Rattus norvegicus: one gene and its partners. Each later gene encodes a partner of the first gene's protein in a complex. Links are inferred from orthologs where the notes say so. Each region holds a gene or a part of one and is shown in the gene's direction. Other genes may lie near its edges. The genes, in order: Fgf23, Fgfr1, Fgfr4 and Fgfr3.

The links.
Region 2: the proteins of Fgf23 (region 1) and Fgfr1 are in contact, whole or in part, in a cryo-EM structure (PDB 7YSH), measured with the Homo sapiens proteins. The link is inferred for Rattus norvegicus from reciprocal best matches to the Homo sapiens genes FGF23 and FGFR1. Residues at the interface, in NP_065689.1 of Homo sapiens: Leu31, Leu32, Gly33, Ser34, Trp36, Gly37, Tyr43, Ala45, Thr46, Ala47, Arg48, Asn49, Ser50, His52, His66, Ile75, Arg76, Ser77, Glu78, Asp79, Ala80, Gly81, Val83, Val84, Tyr93, Phe108, His117, Gln118, Thr119, Asn122; in NP_075598.2 of Homo sapiens: Glu159, Lys160, Glu162, Lys163, Lys164, Leu165, His166, Ala167, Val168, Pro169, Lys172, Gln244, Asp246, Val248, Glu249, Arg250, Ser251, Pro252, Val279, Tyr280, Ser281, Asp282, Pro283, Gln284, Pro285, His286, Ile287, Ala314, Gly315, Val316.
Region 3: the proteins of Fgf23 (region 1) and Fgfr4 are in contact, whole or in part, in a cryo-EM structure (PDB 7YSW), measured with the Homo sapiens proteins. The link is inferred for Rattus norvegicus from reciprocal best matches to the Homo sapiens genes FGF23 and FGFR4. Residues at the interface, in NP_065689.1 of Homo sapiens: Leu32, Gly33, Ser35, Trp36, Gly37, Tyr43, Ala45, Thr46, Ala47, Arg48, Asn49, Ser50, Ile75, Arg76, Ser77, Glu78, Asp79, Ala80, Gly81, Val83, Val84, Tyr93, His117, Gln118, Thr119, Asn122, Gly123, Tyr124, Asp125, Leu158; in NP_001341913.1 of Homo sapiens: Glu156, Lys157, Lys158, Leu159, His160, Ala161, Val162, Pro163, Asn166, Asp240, Leu242, Glu243, Arg244, Ser245, Pro246, Lys272, Val273, Tyr274, Ser275, Asp276, Ala277, Gln278, Pro279, His280, Ala308, Asp309, Ile310, Ser312, Gly336, Asn337.
Region 4: the proteins of Fgf23 (region 1) and Fgfr3 are in contact, whole or in part, in a cryo-EM structure (PDB 7YSU), measured with the Homo sapiens proteins. The link is inferred for Rattus norvegicus from reciprocal best matches to the Homo sapiens genes FGF23 and FGFR3. Residues at the interface, in NP_065689.1 of Homo sapiens: Ser29, Leu32, Gly33, Ser34, Trp36, Tyr43, Ala45, Ala47, Arg48, Asn49, Ser50, His52, Ile75, Arg76, Ser77, Glu78, Asp79, Ala80, Gly81, Val83, Val84, His117, Gln118, Thr119, Asn122, Gly123, Tyr124, Asp125, Leu158, Ser159; in NP_000133.1 of Homo sapiens: Glu157, Arg158, Asp160, Lys161, Leu163, Leu164, Ala165, Val166, Pro167, Arg223, Asp244, Leu246, Glu247, Arg248, Ser249, Pro250, Val277, Tyr278, Ser279, Asp280, Ala281, Gln282, Pro283, His284, Ala312, Gly313, Ala314, Thr316, Thr317, Asp318.

The regions. Positions count from the first base shown.
Region 1 is NC_086022.1:161,603,401-161,606,956, forward strand, and holds part of Fgf23 (fibroblast growth factor 23 precursor), read left to right. Parts: intron 1-2,585; coding exon 2,586-2,689; intron 2,690-3,556. UniProt on the Homo sapiens protein: Regulator of phosphate homeostasis. Inhibits renal tubular phosphate transport by reducing SLC34A1 levels. Up-regulates EGR1 expression in the presence of KL. Acts directly on the parathyroid to decrease PTH secretion. Regulator of vitamin-D metabolism.
Region 2 is NC_086034.1:73,247,021-73,251,108, reverse strand, and holds the start of Fgfr1 (fibroblast growth factor receptor 1 precursor), read left to right. Parts: upstream 1-1,253; 5' UTR 1,254-1,884; intron 1,885-2,054; exon of another isoform or gene 2,055-2,190; intron 2,191-2,259; exon of another isoform or gene 2,260-2,406; intron 2,407-2,484; exon of another isoform or gene 2,485-2,777; intron 2,778-4,088. UniProt on the Homo sapiens protein: Tyrosine-protein kinase that acts as a cell-surface receptor for fibroblast growth factors and plays an essential role in the regulation of embryonic development, cell proliferation, differentiation and migration.
Region 3 is NC_086035.1:9,478,560-9,482,837, reverse strand, and holds the start of Fgfr4 (fibroblast growth factor receptor 4 precursor), read left to right. Parts: upstream 1-1,448; 5' UTR 1,449-1,571; intron 1,572-4,278. UniProt on the Homo sapiens protein: Tyrosine-protein kinase that acts as a cell-surface receptor for fibroblast growth factors and plays a role in the regulation of cell proliferation, differentiation and migration, and in regulation of lipid metabolism, bile acid biosynthesis, glucose uptake, vitamin D metabolism and phosphate homeostasis.
Region 4 is NC_086032.1:81,224,409-81,228,592, reverse strand, and holds the start of Fgfr3 (fibroblast growth factor receptor 3 precursor), read left to right. Parts: upstream 1-1,383; 5' UTR 1,384-1,562; intron 1,563-1,917; 5' UTR 1,918-2,006; coding exon 2,007-2,109; intron 2,110-4,184.

The DNA.
Region 1 (3,556 bases):
CTTTACATGCTAGTCATACAATCTTCCTCCTAATCGATTACAAATAGCAGAGCATGGTTTAATTATGACCTCATTCATTTATTTTTTTCGTTTATTGTACTTTATCGGTATGACTGTCTTGTTTGCATATATGTGTGCACACCACATGCATGCAGTACTGGAAGTCATTACAGCTTCAGGAAGACAAAATGAGGCAAATGCTTCTACAGTCCCATTTCAAAGCTTTGCTTTAGTAAATTCGTGGTTTAGAGTTGAGTGTCCGACTCCTGCTCTGGTCATTGGTCTTGACAAGATGGAATGAACTGCCCCAAAGATGCTCTAAGCTCCCCTGAGCTCAGAAGGCTCTTGGATCTCTTCAGGGTCAGTAAGCTTTTTCTAATCTGAGCAAGCCCAGCTTCCCATTCTCCATCAGGCACGGAGTTTGCAAATAGCAGAAGAGACTTGCTTATCGCTTTTGCTTAGGAGCCCACTCTTTCCCTGGGTGGCTTAGCCTGTGCTTGGCCAAGTGAATTTCTCTGCTAACTTTTGTTGATTTCAAAAACAAAAAACAAAAAACAAAAAACAAAAAACAAAAAAAACCTAAGCGCTCCCCGTCGGAAGCCACTGGCCCTAGAATGAGGGCATGTATACTGTGCTCACTGTCTGCAGTGTTTCCAATCATCAGACAGGCTGGCATGACGTCAGGGTGTGGGTGTGGTCAACTGTCAGGTTGCCTCTTGGAAGCCATTAGCAATTTTGATGGTGATAACACTGCAAAGCAGGCTGGAACTGCTATGTTATGCTCTGGAGACTATGGCAGTCCCACAGGCTGCCCTGGGCTGTGGCAGTGAGACTCCTGTGGCTACAGGGCACTTAAGGAGCCACACAGGGCATCATCCCTCATGGGCACAGACACTTGGTGTCCCCGTGATATTTCAGTACCTTCTCTGTTAGAGGCTACAGCTGCAGGGCAGGAAGATGTCACTGACCTGAGTTTGAATCCTTCTTTGTCTCTTAAAGATGCTTCTACAATTGCTAAAATGATAATGATGTTAATTTTAACGAAATAACAGTTGTTTTGAGAATTTAAAATAGAGTACATAAGAGGGCACACACAAAAAAAAAAGAAAGAAAAGAAAACTTCACTAAATGTAATCTCCTGCCCCCCCCCATTTGATTGAACCAAAAAGCTCTCAGGACATAAATTCCTCTGTATTTCATTATGTATGTCTGGGCTTACATAAAATCAGCCATGTATCTGAGACACATAGCCAAATGCCATTTTGGAAGACTACGTGTGGTACCTCTCCACTCTTGCCAGTTTTCATGAATGCTAACCCACACACAAACTCTGAAACAAATGAAGTTCCCTGATTGGTCCTCTCTGCCGTCATCTTCCCAGGCTCAGGCCTACCCTCATTCCCTTTGAGCACATCAACCAGCTTCAGCCTGTACCAGCTTCTGTAGTTAGGCAACACGTAACCTTTGCCTGCTCACTCCCCTTGAAAGTCTTCGTTTGGAGTCTACATGGGGTAGGAAAGAAGCCTTGGGCTTCAAATTATCCCATGAAGCTCTACCACATGTTAGTCACAGACTGTGTTCTCTTAAGAGGAATTAAAAGTCCTATCAGGGCAGGCTCCTTGGGGCTGTGAAATGAGGTTCAGCAGGCAGTTGGAAGTGTCCTTAAACATCTAAGCAAATTATTTCTAACAGAAAATATCCAGTCTTGCTGATCACCATACATTTTACAGCACAGTGTGGCTTAATCTTATCTTTGGTACAGAACACCCATTTAAAGGTATTGACCATTGTCTAAAATGATACAAGCATGCTCCAAGCCTTAGTCAAAGGCAAGCTTTCAAGTGGGGCCATTGGAAGATGCCCAGGACCAGCATCTATGAAGAACATCTCCAACTGAGAAGAGACACAAAGGACTGGGTCCAAAAAAGCAAATTCTATCTATCCCTGGATCCCATCTACTAAACATGAGGAAGGGCCCTGCTCCTCTGGGGGAAGGTTTTAGGCGTGCAAATATGGTAGCGTGGTGGGGGGTACACTGTAGTAACAGCAGGGGCACTGTGCTAAAGAGCAATCGGTTTTGATTAGGGAGATAAGAAGGCTCAGAGATGGCTGCGACTGGCCTTGAAGGTTAAACAACTTCAACAGGCAGGGAAGAGAGATCAGCTTCATATTGGTTGAGACATGCAGTGGGGAAGAACCAGGCTCTCTACAGTGGGGTCTTTGAATAAAATTCAACATACATTTTAACATCATAGAAACAGATGTCTTAGACAGGGACAATGGCTGCCTTAAACACTAAAAGATACTAGCCAGGCAAAGAGGGGGTAGCAATGGGTGGAGGACAATCTGTATGCTACACAGATGGGGGATTATTGGGAGATCGAGACTCGTGCAGTAAGAGGATGAAACAGGAGGTACATAAGTGTTGGTGTTGGAGTTGGGGTCACGGAAATGAAAGAGACAGTAAGACACGGAGGGGCTGTGTAATGCCGCCCCCTACAGAGAGGTGTCTCGGAGGTGTCTTTTCAGAGAGCATTTCAAGGAAGGGAAAACTGCACAGTTTGACCTGAGAGGTCCTCTTACAGGTGCCCTGATGATCACATCAGAGGATGCTGGCTCCGTAGTGATAATAGGGGCCATGACCAGAAGGTTCCTTTGTATGGATCTCCGCGGCAACATTTTTGGATCGGTGAGTTTCTTTATGTGATGGTCACCACATTATAATGACTGTCTCTCCTTTTCTAAGATTCGAGTTTTAAAATTGTATGCCTGTGTGTGGGAACTGAACTCTGGGACAGAAGAATGTACAAAAGCTTAATCACTGAGCCATCTTTCCCTCTCTTTACTGTATCAGGGCTTTAGAGATTCCTTGATCATTCAGTCTTAGGGAATGTTCAAGATTTCACAGCTGCGGTTTGGAATGAGGCTCTGGGCCTTTAGTCTGCCCTGTCGCCTAAGACCCATTCTTGCATGGAGCACAGTCCCTAGTATGTTGTAGGTTCTAAAGCCATGTCAAATATGTTTCTAATTCATACATTAGAAAGGGTGAGAGGTTCTTGGTGTCTTCTCAGTTCTGTTACAGACCATGACCTTGGGTAACTCCCCTCACTCCTTCCAATTTCAGTTTCTTCCCTTGGAATAAGTGAGGTGGAATGGACCACGTGACTTGCAGCTCTCCCTCCTATTAATGACCTCCGATTAATTTCCTGTGCCCTTGGGGGTGATGGCTGGCCCTTCAGATCATAAATCAAGGTTTTCCTAACCTAAAGGCTTAAAGTGTAGTCCAAGTAATTTTGACATACAAACAAAGAAAGATAAGTTGATTCAGGAATCTCTTATCAATGCCCTCTACAACGTTCCTGAGGTAAAAGATTTCTGTTCTGTTACCGCGGTGCACCTCCCAGCACCTATAATGCCATCTGTCCAGGGTAGATAGATTTCTACACACACAGAAAGCCCTCTCCTCCAGAATTCTTTGTACAGTTTGGGAAACAATGTCGCATGTAAAGATCCAAGCAGGCACTCAATGAAGCTCAGTACTAAGAGGAGAGTAAGG
Region 2 (4,088 bases), on another chromosome or scaffold:
CAACTAGACATCACATGGCAGAGTGTCCCCCCCTCCCCATTGCCATGTATCAAATCTGAGGCATGGACCACCTAGTCAGGTTTGGAGTGTGCTGGAATCAAAGCTCCGTCTTCTAGCTAAGCTGCAACCCCAGCCCATTTGTTTAATTTGTTCAAGACAGGGTCTGTAAGCACAGGTTGTCTTCTCAGTTCTTATGCGGCCAACGGTGGTGATTTTAAGCCTCTGATCCTCCACCTTCCTAGCACTAGCTTTGCAGGTGTGCATCGTCACTTTTGACCTATTCGGTGCTAGAAACCGAGCTCCTGAAACTATGTAAAGACCCTACTAACTGTCTCATACTTGTTAGTGTGTTTCACAGAAATATCGGGATTCCTCGTGTCCAAGTAGGACTGGAATATTTGTATATTTCAACATTCTCGACGTGATTCATGTCCACTGGACCTGTTGGATTAAAGAACCACAGATTAACTGCTCTGTGAATGGATCTGGTGGGAAGGGCATTTCAGCGATTTTTCCTTGAGGTTCAGAGTATAACATGGGGGCTCTGGGTTGACTCTGATTAATTCCTAAGGCGAAAAAAACAAAACAAGCAAGCAAGTAAACAACCCTAACCCGAAAAACAAAACAAAACAAAACCAAACCCCTCCTCTCCTCGCTTGCTTCCTGAAAGCTAATGATTTCTGAGGCTACAACGAGCAGCACTGTAGAATTCACAGGGTCCATTCCGGAGTGAACCACAAAACCTAAATTATGTGGCTGGGGAAAGTTGAGATCCAAGGAAAAGGTCTGAGGGGGAAAGTTGACCGATCCATCAATAAAAACAGTTTGTATTTATTGTGAACTATATGAGGGTCCGATTTTTTCCTCCACTTTACTGTATTTTTCCTGTATTATTATCTCCCTTTTACATTACAGGAAAACAGATTCAGAGCACGAAAATCATACCCCAAGGCACACAGATAACCAAAGACCAAGTTGCCAAGTACAGCCTCAAAACTATAGCCAGGCCCCCGCCCCTCCCCGCCCTCCGCTTCGGTCCCCAAATTGCTGATCTACCCACAGCCTGAAATTCGGGCGCCCTCCAGGCGAAACTCAAGTCAGACCTGACTGTAGAACAGTTCTGTTCGCTCCGGGCTTCTCCCGGGCTGCGACTTGAGAACTACAAGGCCCAGCAGGCAACTGCAGGGGGAGGAGGAGGAGGTGGGACTAGCGCCGGGTGGGAGTGAGAGAGCGAGCCCTCGCGCCTCGCCGGCGCACAGCGCTCGGAGCGCTCCTGCGGGAACCTTTGCGGGGCTCTCGGCAGCCGGTGGCGCCGAACGCGAGCCGGAACGCCGGTGCAGCCGCTGCGTGCCGAGGATCCGGGCTGCGCAGGGAACGGGGCCGCAACGTCCGGACTGGACGGAGACTGTGCTTAGCGCATTGCGGCGACCTCGCCTTTCCCGGCCGCGAGCGCGCGCCGCAGCTGGAAAAGCAGCGGAGACCGAGGACTTTTCTCAGGTCCCAGAGGCGCACCACAGCCGTGCTGCAGTCAATGCCCGCCGTAGCCCTCGGAGGGGCGATGGAACTCGGGCTACCAGAAGCCTGAGACGACGCCGCCGCCGCGTACTGGAGAGCGGGGGGCGCACGATCTGGGGACCCCCGGCGGCGGACCCGAGCCCTCCCCCCCGCCCCGCCTCCGGGGCACCAGCTTCGGCTCCATTGTTCCCGCCCGGGCTGGAGGCGCCCGGCTCCGAGTGCCGCCGGGAGTCGTGCCTCGGCCGCGGAGCTCTCGAGACCCCACCAGGACCTGAACGGATCCCAGGGACGAGCTGCTGGAGCGCAAGACACAGACACCCGCCGCGCCACGGCGAGCTCTCCAGAGGCGGGACCGCAGCGCCAAGTGAGGTAAGAGTCGCCGGCGCCCGCAGAGCCGGCTGGCTGGGCGTCCCGAGCGGCCCCCGCGCTTCGCCAGTCGCAGCCCGCGCCTCCCTCTTCCGACCCCCCTCCCCCTGCTCCGCTCCCTCCCCGGCGCCCCTGTCCCTCCTCCCTCGGCCAGTGTCGCCGCCCGCGCCCCCTCCCCGCGCGCGGGGCCGCCGCTGCTGCCCGCTGCCCAACTTTTTCCGCCAACTCGCGCTCCGGAGCTAGCGAGGCAGCTGCGGCGCTCGAGTCCAGACCCCGACCCTCCCGGCCCAGGAGAAGGCGGCGGAAGCCGTGTGTTCCCTACTGGGGAGGAGGGCGGGAGTGGGCTGGGAGGTGGAGAGTGTGTGCATGTGAGTGTGTGTGTGTGCGTGTGTGTGTGTGTGTGTGTGTGTGTGTGTACACACGCATCATCTTTTGGTCTTCTTGAGGATTCATCCTGATTCAGCCGGTGGCTTTGGGCTCAACACCCCACATCTGGGATCTTTTCAAGTGTTTTTCCACCTCCCGGCAAGTCTGGGGTCCAGGTTGGGGGGTTGAGGAGGAAAGGAAGTGGCGGGGAAGGCTAGCTTGTCTTGGAATAGGTTTGAAGGAGGTCTCGTCACCAAATGGCTGAATCGGTTTTAGCGGAGGAGAGTGAGCAAAGATTCCCCCCTTTTGAGGGGTGGTGGTGGTGATGTTCTATTTTGTCTTAGATCTAGAGGACTCTTGAAGGTGTCTGGAGAAGGGGAGGGGGCCCTCGGGGTCTGACCGTTCTAGGAAGTGGAGGAAGAGAGGAGAGCTTGTCCGGTGTGGAACCCTCCTCCGCCCGCTTGTTGCTTCTCTGGCCCAGACCCCCTCTCCGCGCTTCCTGCACCTCCTCCTGTGGTGTCTTCGGCGCGGTAAGACAACCTACTATTCATATTTTTGGAGGAATGTGCTCACTTTTTTTTTAAATATATAGATGGGGTTTGTAATAGACATTTACCCCCAGTGAGGCAGCTGGACACCTTGGGAGTACAGGAGGGAGTTCTCCTTTTCTGGGCCTAGAAGCTATTAACTCATTTGCAAAGCATTTCGACGGCGTTTTTTTCCCCCTACCCTACCCCCCATTTCCCAGATGTAGCTGCCGCATCTGGTTCCGTTTCACCCTACACGGGGTACACCGCAGCCACATTATTAAACATCCCTCTTCCTCCCCTCCCCCTCCTAAATTAAAACTGAGATTCTTGGACTAGTCTTTACCACCGCCGCCACTACCCCTTAAAATTTCTTGAGACATGGAGAGGAAGCTTTGGGATTGGAGGAGAAAAGAAAGTTATAGATCCGCAAGTGGTTTTGGATTCTTCCACTCTCTTGCTGGTGGCCGACGATGGGGGAGGGGGAGGTGTTTAAGAATCTTTGGACCCTCTTGAGAGCCGCTTGCTTACTAGAGGTAGCCTTTGTCGGTGGGCTGAGCCAAAATTGGCCCCGACGTGTATTGGAACCAAGTATCGCCTCTCCCTTTAATTATAGTTGGAGCGCCTGTCTCATGTGGACACAACGGGCCCACCTATCGCCACGCGTCCCAGTCCCTCTCCGGGTTCCGTCCTCCATTTGGGGAGCAGGGCGCAGCCCCTGGTACTGTAGCTGCCAGAGACACCTTATGTTTTCAGTGAATTTCCTGGGTTGCAGTCCTCAGAAGCTTAAACTGGAGTGTTTTTGCCGTTTAAACAATGACTACAGGGCCAGGGATGGAATGTCCACTCCTTTGGAAGGGGGTGGGGGGGCAACAAAGCATCCAAAAGGTCCAAAGTTAGCGGCTGGGTGGGTAGAGTGGGCTGGTGCCTCTCACCCTCTCCAGTCTTTTAAATTGAAAACACTTCTCTGGTTTCCTTCTTGGGGCGGTAGTTTTGGAGGCTGTAATGAAATCGCACTTTCTCTAGACATGGTAATTAAGGTGACTGTTTCCTTCCCAGATGTGCTCTGGTCTTCTCACCTCCGGACCATTGCTTTTTTTGGAATAGTATCTAAATTGTAGAGCCATTGCCCTGAGATGGTTGAACAGAAAGTGGCCTTCTTCCTCCCTTGGCCAGGCTCCGGGTTTCCTCTCTGGGGCTTGTTTTAAAGCTAAGTAGCTGGCCCCTGGGACCAGCCACCGTCTAGCCAATTACCCCCACGCTGGGGTGGTGCCTCTTCCTTTCAGTGACCTAAGGCCAACAAGCTCAACTAAT
Region 3 (4,278 bases), on another chromosome or scaffold:
AAAAAAAAAAAAAACAGAAAACAAAAACAAATAAACTTAACAGTAAAGTTTAAGGGCCAGAGAAATACGTCCCTGATTAAAGGCACTGGCTACCATTTCAGAGGATCTGGATTCAAGTCTATGACTCCAGTTCCAGGAAAATCGGCCCTCTTCTGGTATCTGCAGGCAATTAGACAAACACGCAAGCAAAGCAGAATATAAAATAAATCTTTTTAACAACAAAATTAAAACTTTTTAAAATGAACATTTAAACGTTTAAAAGTAAAGACTACAGTGGTAGAGCGCTTGCCTAGCAAGCGCAAGGTCCTGGGTTCGGTCCTCAGCTCCGAAAAAAAAAAAAGAAAAGAAAAAAAGTAAAGACTACAACTTTTTAAAAGCTAAAGTTTAAATTTTTAATTTTTAAAAAAGAGCAAGGTAGGCCCGATAGAGTAGTAAGTATTTGCTGCTCTTCCAGAGGAATCCTGGTTCAATTCCCAGCACCTACAGGCAGCTCACAACTGTCTGTAACTCCAGTTCCGGGGGATCCAACACCCTCACATGTACATACATGGAGGAAAAACACCAATGCACATAAATAAATAAATAAATAAATAAATAAATAAATAAATAAATGTTTTTAAAAAGAAAGTTCCAGCGTTTGTCTTTTACACTAGGATTTTAGAGCCTTGCTCAACTGCTAGGCTCCCTGTTTGTTTGTGGGTTTTGTTGTTGTTGTTGTTGTTGGTGGTGGTGGTGGTGGTGGTGGTGGTGGTGACAGCGGCGGTGCTTTTTGTGGTTTTGCTTTTGTTTTTATTTTCTTTTCAGACTGAGTCTCATTGAGTCGCTGTGTCACTTGTGCCTTACCCTTTTGAGTAGCTGGGATTACCAGGCTCGGCCTGAATATGTACTTTATTTATTTTAAATTATTTATATATTTAGTTGGCTTGTTGGTTGGTTGTTTTGTCTCCCACCCCCACCCCGCCCTGAGACGGGGTTTCTCTGTGTAGCCATGGCTGTCCTGGAACTCCCTATGTAGACCAGGCTGGCCTGAAACACAGAGATCCACCTGCCTCTGCCTCCCCAGTGCTGGGATTAAAGGAATGCGACGCCACCACTACCACCACCACCCCGACGGAGATGCATTTTAAATATCCTCCGAAGGTCGCTCAGGCAAAGAAGAGGTCAGATCTATCAGAGGTACTGCGATTGCACGGGAAACCAGAGAGCCTGGTGAGTTCCAAGGTGGTGTAGAGCAAAGAATAGAGCAAGTAGCAGGTCACACCTCGCAGGTTGTACCAGGGGCCCTGGAGCGGCTGAGACTGGGAAATCCAGTACCACCCGGAGCTCTTGCACTTGGGTGCCCGGCTGACTTTAGCCAGATCTCGAACCACGCCTCTCAGATCAGAACTGGTCCAGGAGGGGCGGAGCCCGAGGTGGGCGGGGCAGGAGGTGGGCAGCCCCCCGCCACGCTGTAGTTGCAGGGACATTCCTGGCTCTTCGGCCCGGGGCGGAGGAGCTCCAGGCGGGTGAGTGTGCCAGCCCTGCCGGGATCGTGACCCCCGAGCACGGGAACCGGGTGGCGGAGGAGCCAGGTGAGCCGAGCCCCTGCACAGGGAGCCGACCCTCTAACTCTGGGCAAGCCGGGCCACACACCGTACTCCGGGCCGCCTTGGGGACCGCGGCGGTGGAGCTCGGGAGCTGCCCCTTCAGTCCCGGGGACCTTGGCGCCCGCGCGGCGGGAGTGGTTGGGTGGAGGGGACGGTAAATCAGTAACCCGCAGCGCACACAGGGCCTTTTGTCCCCCTCCGTTCAAAGAGCACCCTGGTCACCGCTCTGGTTACTTATTGCCCACCGAGGCGGGGGCGATGGGCCAGCTGTCTATGCAACTCCGCATGGAGACCGTTGACGTGCACCTTCCTCCGAGGGCGACGGGATAGGGGCACTAAAATAAGAGCACTGTCGCCTTTGGGCTGGGTGACAGACGCGCTCTGGCCAAATTGATGAGGAAATTAACTCTCGCAGTCACTTGCACAGAGCACCTCTTCGTGTGAGTGCAGGACAACTAAGGGTTAGCAATCCTCAGCGGCCAGCAGAAGTGACCAGACTAAGAACTCTGTGATTGAGAGTTCAGGGCAGCGTGGGAGTGGGAATAAAACCTCCCTGGACCTGTCCACCCCAATCCAAGCTGGAGACGAAAATCGGCCCTCTCTGCTTAGCAGGGTGTGGTAGGAGTCTTTTGCCGATGAGCAGACCAAACTAAGGGTAGGGGGACAGGTCAAGGTTCTTTTTTTTTGTTTTGTTTTTTTTCCGGAGCTGGGGACCGAACCCAGGGCCTTGCGCTGGCTAGGCAAGCGCTCTACCACTGAGCTAAATCCCCAACCCCCATGTCAAGGGGGGTTTTAAAATGATAGCTAAGCTGGTCGACAAAAGGAATGAGTGACACAGAGGTACAGACAGGAAAGTAAACGTGCTGGCTTTTAGAATTTACTGAAGGGACAGACAGTGGGACTAACACTGGCGTTTAAAATGAAGGGCCTTAACGGGGGCTAGCCAGGCTGAGGCAGGAGGCTTACAAGTTGAAGACCTACTCGGTTTACAGAGTGAGTTTCAATGCCAGTCTGCCTGGCCAACTTTAGTGAGAATTTGTCTCAAAATAATAGAGAGAGAGAGAGAGAGAGAGAGAGAGAGAGAGAGAGAGAGAGAGAGAGAGAGAGGAAAAGGGCGGTCTGCAGGTCTGCAGTTAACCCTCAGGGGCTTGTAAACTAGGTAACAGGGAGAAAACAGGGCTGGAGAGATGGCTCAGTGGTTAAGAACTCTGACTGCTCTTCAGAGGTCCTGAGTTCAATTCCCAGCAACCACATGGTGGCTCACAACCATCAGGGACCAGACCAAAACAAAACAAAAAAGGCCAAACAAACAGCTGGGCGGTGAAGACCTGAGATTTGCCAAGATACCAAGCAAGAAATGACCATGACTTAACCTAAGTGGGGTAGGAAAGCTGAGAGACATTGATGAGGTCAGTGGACCAACCAAGGCTTAGGCCTGTGTCTTCCTCAGCAGTGGGCTGAGAATGGTAGAATGGGTATAATGGGCTCCCTGGGCAGGGTTCCCAGTTTGGTTAGGTACTAAAGTTGGACCAATACAGAAATTAGCACAGCCCCTGTGCAAGGACCTCATACACACTCACAAAGCCCTTGCCCAACAAAAGCAGGGTCCTAAGGGAAAGAACCCTGATCCAAAGATGCTGGTGATACCTGGTTGCTATCCAGGATAGGTAACAGCCTGTGTGTCCCTGGGACTCCACTGGTTTCCTGGTCAAGTTAAGGCTTACGCCAGAGTCTTCCTTTAGGGAAACAGACGCTCACAGCAGCATTTGGACAAGCGTGTGTATCTACTGCACAAGTAGACACTGATTAAGGTCAGACCAAGGTGCACACTCAGTATGGGGACAGTGAGAACATCTCACCAATAATGCTCTGTGTGTGTGCCATCCCTCCATGTATGGTCCCTCTTTGTCCCTGAAGCAACCTTATGATGATAACGGTTCAGAAAGGTAGGTCTTGGTGGGAAACCGGGATTTGAAATTGTTGCTACCAGACGTGTAAAATCTGTGTCAATTCCCAAGCCACCTCGACACGAAAGCGGTGGCAGAGGCTTTGCTTAGCATGCAGGGAGGTCTCAGGTTCAATCCACAACTCAGAAAAAAACAAAAACAATAAACAAAGCGGAGCGAGCTCCTACATTGTCTAAGACAGAGCCGTGAGGGTGCAAACCACCGGAAGTGTCCTCAGGATGCTTTCCTGGCTCAGAAGGAGAAAGAATGTCCTCGATTTGGGCTGCACCTCCTTTGGGCACCCACCACTGGAGGCATCCCAAGCTGGATGTGGAAATGCCAATAATACTCAAGAGCGAGGTCCCATCCGATGGCGTCCAGATGCTGAAGGCTGGCCTTGTATTAGGTTTCCCTTTTCTTCTTTGAGCCTTCAGCAATGAATTCATTTATTCAGCAGAAAATAAATGATGTGTCCAGGATAAGCCGCCATCTCTGCTTCCTCCCAAGGAAAGAATCCCGAGACTGCTCTCTCTGTGAAGGCATGCCAGGTCACAGTAGGACCCAAGACAGCAGGAAGTCCGCACACGCCCTGCAGAACCTCCTATGGGGAGGCCAGGGCTCTGCCCAGCAGTGCTGGCTCCAGTCTCTGCCCTGCTATGCCTTGTGGGGTTTGGATGAGCCTGCTGACTGCTTCCTGTCTCTGGGTCTTCATCTGCAAAACAAAGAATGGGACCAGTGCTGACCAG
Region 4 (4,184 bases), on another chromosome or scaffold:
TAAATCCTCCAGACGAAGGGGGTGGACACAGGGGTCAGAGCTCACATTCTGGTTCATTTACTGATAACTAATCTGCCAATAGATTAGGGGAGAATGTCTGCTATGACCCCCTGGGGTGGCATCCTGGGAGAGGGACTGTGGGCAGCTGCCTGGGGGTGTCATGGGAACCCAGGACTGGATTCTAGCCAGTCTGCAGGGAGGGGTGCTTGGCTAGAGCAGGAGTAACAGTCGGTAGAGCTGCCCAGCTCTTGAGTGGACACGGGATTGCATGAGGGCTCTGGGGGCAGGGCCCTGCTCAGCTCTCTGGGAAAGATAAGAGCGATCAGTGAGCCAGTGAAGTGTTTGCATGGCCCACTTGCCTTTTTTTTTTTTTTTTTTTTTTTTTTTTTTTTTTTTTTTGACAGTGTAAAGTCCCTCGAGTCACACACAGCCAGACTGGGCAGAAGCACTGAGCCAAGACCTCAGGTATCTGGCTCCCATAGGCCTCATCAGACCTTGTGGAGTTTGAAAATGAGACAAGGCTCCCTGCTTTGGGAGGGTAGATACAGAGGCCATCAGTCACAGGGTGGTGTTGGTTGCTGTCACAGAAGTTCTGCCAGGCAGGACCTATAGCTCGCCAGCACGATAGGGTGACCAGGCTGATCCTCCAGGGACCAGCTGTCAGTGTGACACTCTCCAGATGGAATGTGTCCCCAAGATGGGTGTGCTGTGCTAGGGCATCTTTAGGCTAGAGTTCAGGCAGCCCTGGGGCAGGGCAGGCTCCCCTACTTTGTATCCTCAGCTCTTCTTGTTATTCTGAGGCTGGGTAAGTTTCTTCCAAACCTATGTGTTCTTGGGGGAAGCGTGGCTATCATTCCTGAGAAGGATGCGGGCCACTGGTTGGTTTGATAAATACAGCAGCATGTCCTCCTTTTCTAGGGTGCAATCCCTGTGTCTTCCATCACATAAACTCTGCCCCATCCTTCACTGAAAGGTCTCTTCACACGTATTTGTCTTCCCAGAATACTGTCGGGGCTCTGCATCTAAGCATTTAGCGTTCTTTGCCCAGGGTTCAGCTCAGGTGCCGGTTCACTGTGAAGATGCCCTAACACCTGGACCCCCACCGAGGTCAACCCTCTGAGCCCCTGAGCACAGCATTATTGGAGAAGCGTGCTGGTAGACAGTCCTGAGCTCCGCATTGCTTCGAGGGGTCGAGTGTGCGACCCTGGCCTCGCCCGCTCCGCCCCAGCTGGGCTCCCACGCCCTCCGGGACCGCCCGGCGCCCCCGCCTGACCACGCCTCTTCGGATCCCCCGCCCCTTGGCCGCCGGGGAAGGGGAGTGTTCGGGGCGTGGCGGGAGCAGCCCCCCCCCCCCCGCTGCTGCGCGCCGGGCAGCCCCAGTTCAGTGAGCTGTGGCAGCGGGGGTGGCGGGAGCAGCTGGCGCCGTGCGGTCCGCTCCGGCGAGGGGACTCACCGGTGGGGTGGGCGGCCGGCCACTGGGACAGAGGAGAGCCTGGAAGAGCCGGCCGAGAGCCGAAGCCGGAGCCGCGAGTGGTGAGCTGGGCTCTAGCGGCGGCCGCCAGGTTGGTGTGAAGGACTCCGCTGGCGCTCGGAGGGGCCGGGCGGGCTCAGAAGCAGTCAGGGGGTGCGATGGGGTGGAAGTGGAGCAGTCTGTAAGTGCGGGGAGGCCAGGCAAGGCTCGGGCTTCCCGCTCTGGAAAGTTTGCGGCTACTGCGGCCGTCCTGGGAGGGCTCTGCGGCAACCAGGGAGGGAAGGAGGAGGGAGGAACCGCGGCTGGGAGGAGGCGGCCGGCGCCAGGCAGCCCGGGAGAGCTAGGAGTCGGCGGGCGGGCGGGCCGGGCTGCCGGGGTCCCGGCTCAGGAGCGAGGCCGCGCTTCCCCGCTGCCCTCCGGAGTAACTCAGTGTTCTTCTCCTGTAGTCTCCGCAGCGGCGCCGGAGCCGGGTGTGGGGGGTTGCAGCATGCCCGCGCGCATCGCTTGAGGACGCCACGGCCCCAGCTCCGGAGCCATGGTAGTCCCGGCCTGCGTGCTAGTGTTCTGCGTGGCGGTCGTGGCTGGAGTTACTTCCGAGCCTCCCGGTCCAGAGCAGCGAGTTGGTCGGAGAGCGGCAGGTAAGGACGGACCCAAGCTGTTTTTCCGGTAACCGGCCCTGGACTCTAGGGGTTTTGGCATCAGCGAACAGCCCTTGGGTGAGGAAGGGGCATTGGGTTGAGTAGCACCACAGGGGCCAGTGCGCCTGGGTTTTGTTCCCCGGCCTGCAGATAGCTGTCAGCTCGGACGCGGCAGTTTATGGGGGTGTCTGTAGGCTGAGAGCCACCACCCAAGTGCGAGGCGTCACGGGGAGCGGTGCGCCGTGGCGGTGGTCCCAGGCCGAGGTGCGTCGGGAAGGCGCGCAAGCTGACTTCCCACGATGCCTATTGTTGCTTCTCGGATTTGAGAGGACGAAAAGTGCCTGGTTATTGGTTCCGCCATCCTCCCGGAATAGTTCTTGCTCTGCTTCTGCTAAAGGAAGGCTCGACATTGCGGAGTGGATAGTAGTATCTCAGCCAAAGCTCAGCTCTCAGTGTCTCGCATGACAAGGTGACAGCTTCAGAGCCGCCGCTCCCCTCTTATCCCGTACGCTGCCTGAGGGGTCGGTTCCCAGGGGCGCGCACGGACCGCCCTGCAGGCCGCACGCTGGGAGATGAGGGGCGGTTGTCCCAAGATCTTGGCACCGCCTAGATAGTCCTCTGGCCGCCAAAGTCCGATGGGACACTGAGTGCCCTCAAACGGGGCTGGAGGCCAAGGATACGAAAAGGAGCCACGGTCCGCTCTGCGTCCCGCGGCTGCCCGGAGGTGCGACGCGCGCGGCCCCCGGCTGTGCCCGGTGGCAGCGTGGCAAAGCAGAGCAGCGGTCTGGCGGGAGGCCGCGCGAAGGGAGGCTTTCGCTCGGTAAGCTGTTGCCCCACCCGAGCTGAGGCCCGAACAGCCGCTCCTTTGTACCTCGGCGGCCACAGACCGCGCATTGATGGCGGCGTTGCCTCTCGGGGAGGTGCGAGTGCGGCGGGCGCAGCGGGAGGAGGCAGATGGCGGTGTGCCCCTCCCGCGCCCCCGCGCCCCTCTCTCCAGCGGCTGGAGCCTCCTGGAACAATGTCATTTTTTTTCCTTTCTTTCTTTCTTTCTTTCTTTCTTTCTTTCTTTCTTTCTTTCTTTCTTTCTTTCTTTCTTTCTTTCTTTCTTTCTTTCTTTCTTTTTTTTTTTTTTATGAATGAAAGTGGGCCGGGAGTTTGAATGTGCGTGTCTTTCAGCGGCGTGACAGAGGCGGTCGGGAGGTCAGCGCGCGCTTTTAGCGCCTGCTACGATTGCCTAGCTTCCCGGGCGCCCAATGGCCGGCTGAGGGACCACATTAGCATGTGCATTCAGATGAAGATATTACTCTTTGCGTCGGGTGTCAGTGAGCTCGGGTAGGGGCGGCGGGGCGGAGCGCACATCCTCTCTGTGCTCCAGGCAGTGACTGTGGCCTCCTGGCACGACCCTGCTGCGGGAACCGAAGCTGAGCTAGGCCTCCAGGGATCGGTGGGATGTGCGCCTGCCCTTCACTTCTGAGTTTGAGCTGGTGAGACAGGTAGGGAATTGATAGGCCAATAAACTTAATCCGGTTCCTTAACGAGATGGGCCGGGCTGTAAAAATACAAAGACTGGTGAAGTTTACAGAGGTCCGGGCTGGCGCTTTCCCTACGAACATAAATTACCAAGCTGGAGCTGGCTGGGGTCAAGGGCTGTGGGGCGGGGCTAGGTGCCAGTCTAACTTGGCCACCCTTGGTGAGGGAAGCCCTGCTGGTGTGCTTAGTTTGGAGAGAGTAACATAGGGGGTCCAGAGGTTGACCCCCAGGCCGGCTTGCAGAAGCAGGGCCTTTCTCCTCCCTTGTACCCCACCTTCCCCCGCGCTCGGAAGGCTGAACTTTGAGCCCTGCTGGCCCTCCCGGTGGTTCATTAACCTGGGCTGATCTTAGACCCTGAAGCTTTAGATCTTATATCGAGCCTAGAATCACCTTGTCCCCCCCAGGTCCCAGGTTCCACTTGGGATCTGGAAACCCCCCGCCCCCCCCCCGCTTTTTTTTTCAGTAGCACCTAAAAGGAAAACGAGTTACCCGGGTTAGGGGGTAGATGATGTCTTGGGGAGAGGTGACCTGCCAGGTTGAAAATT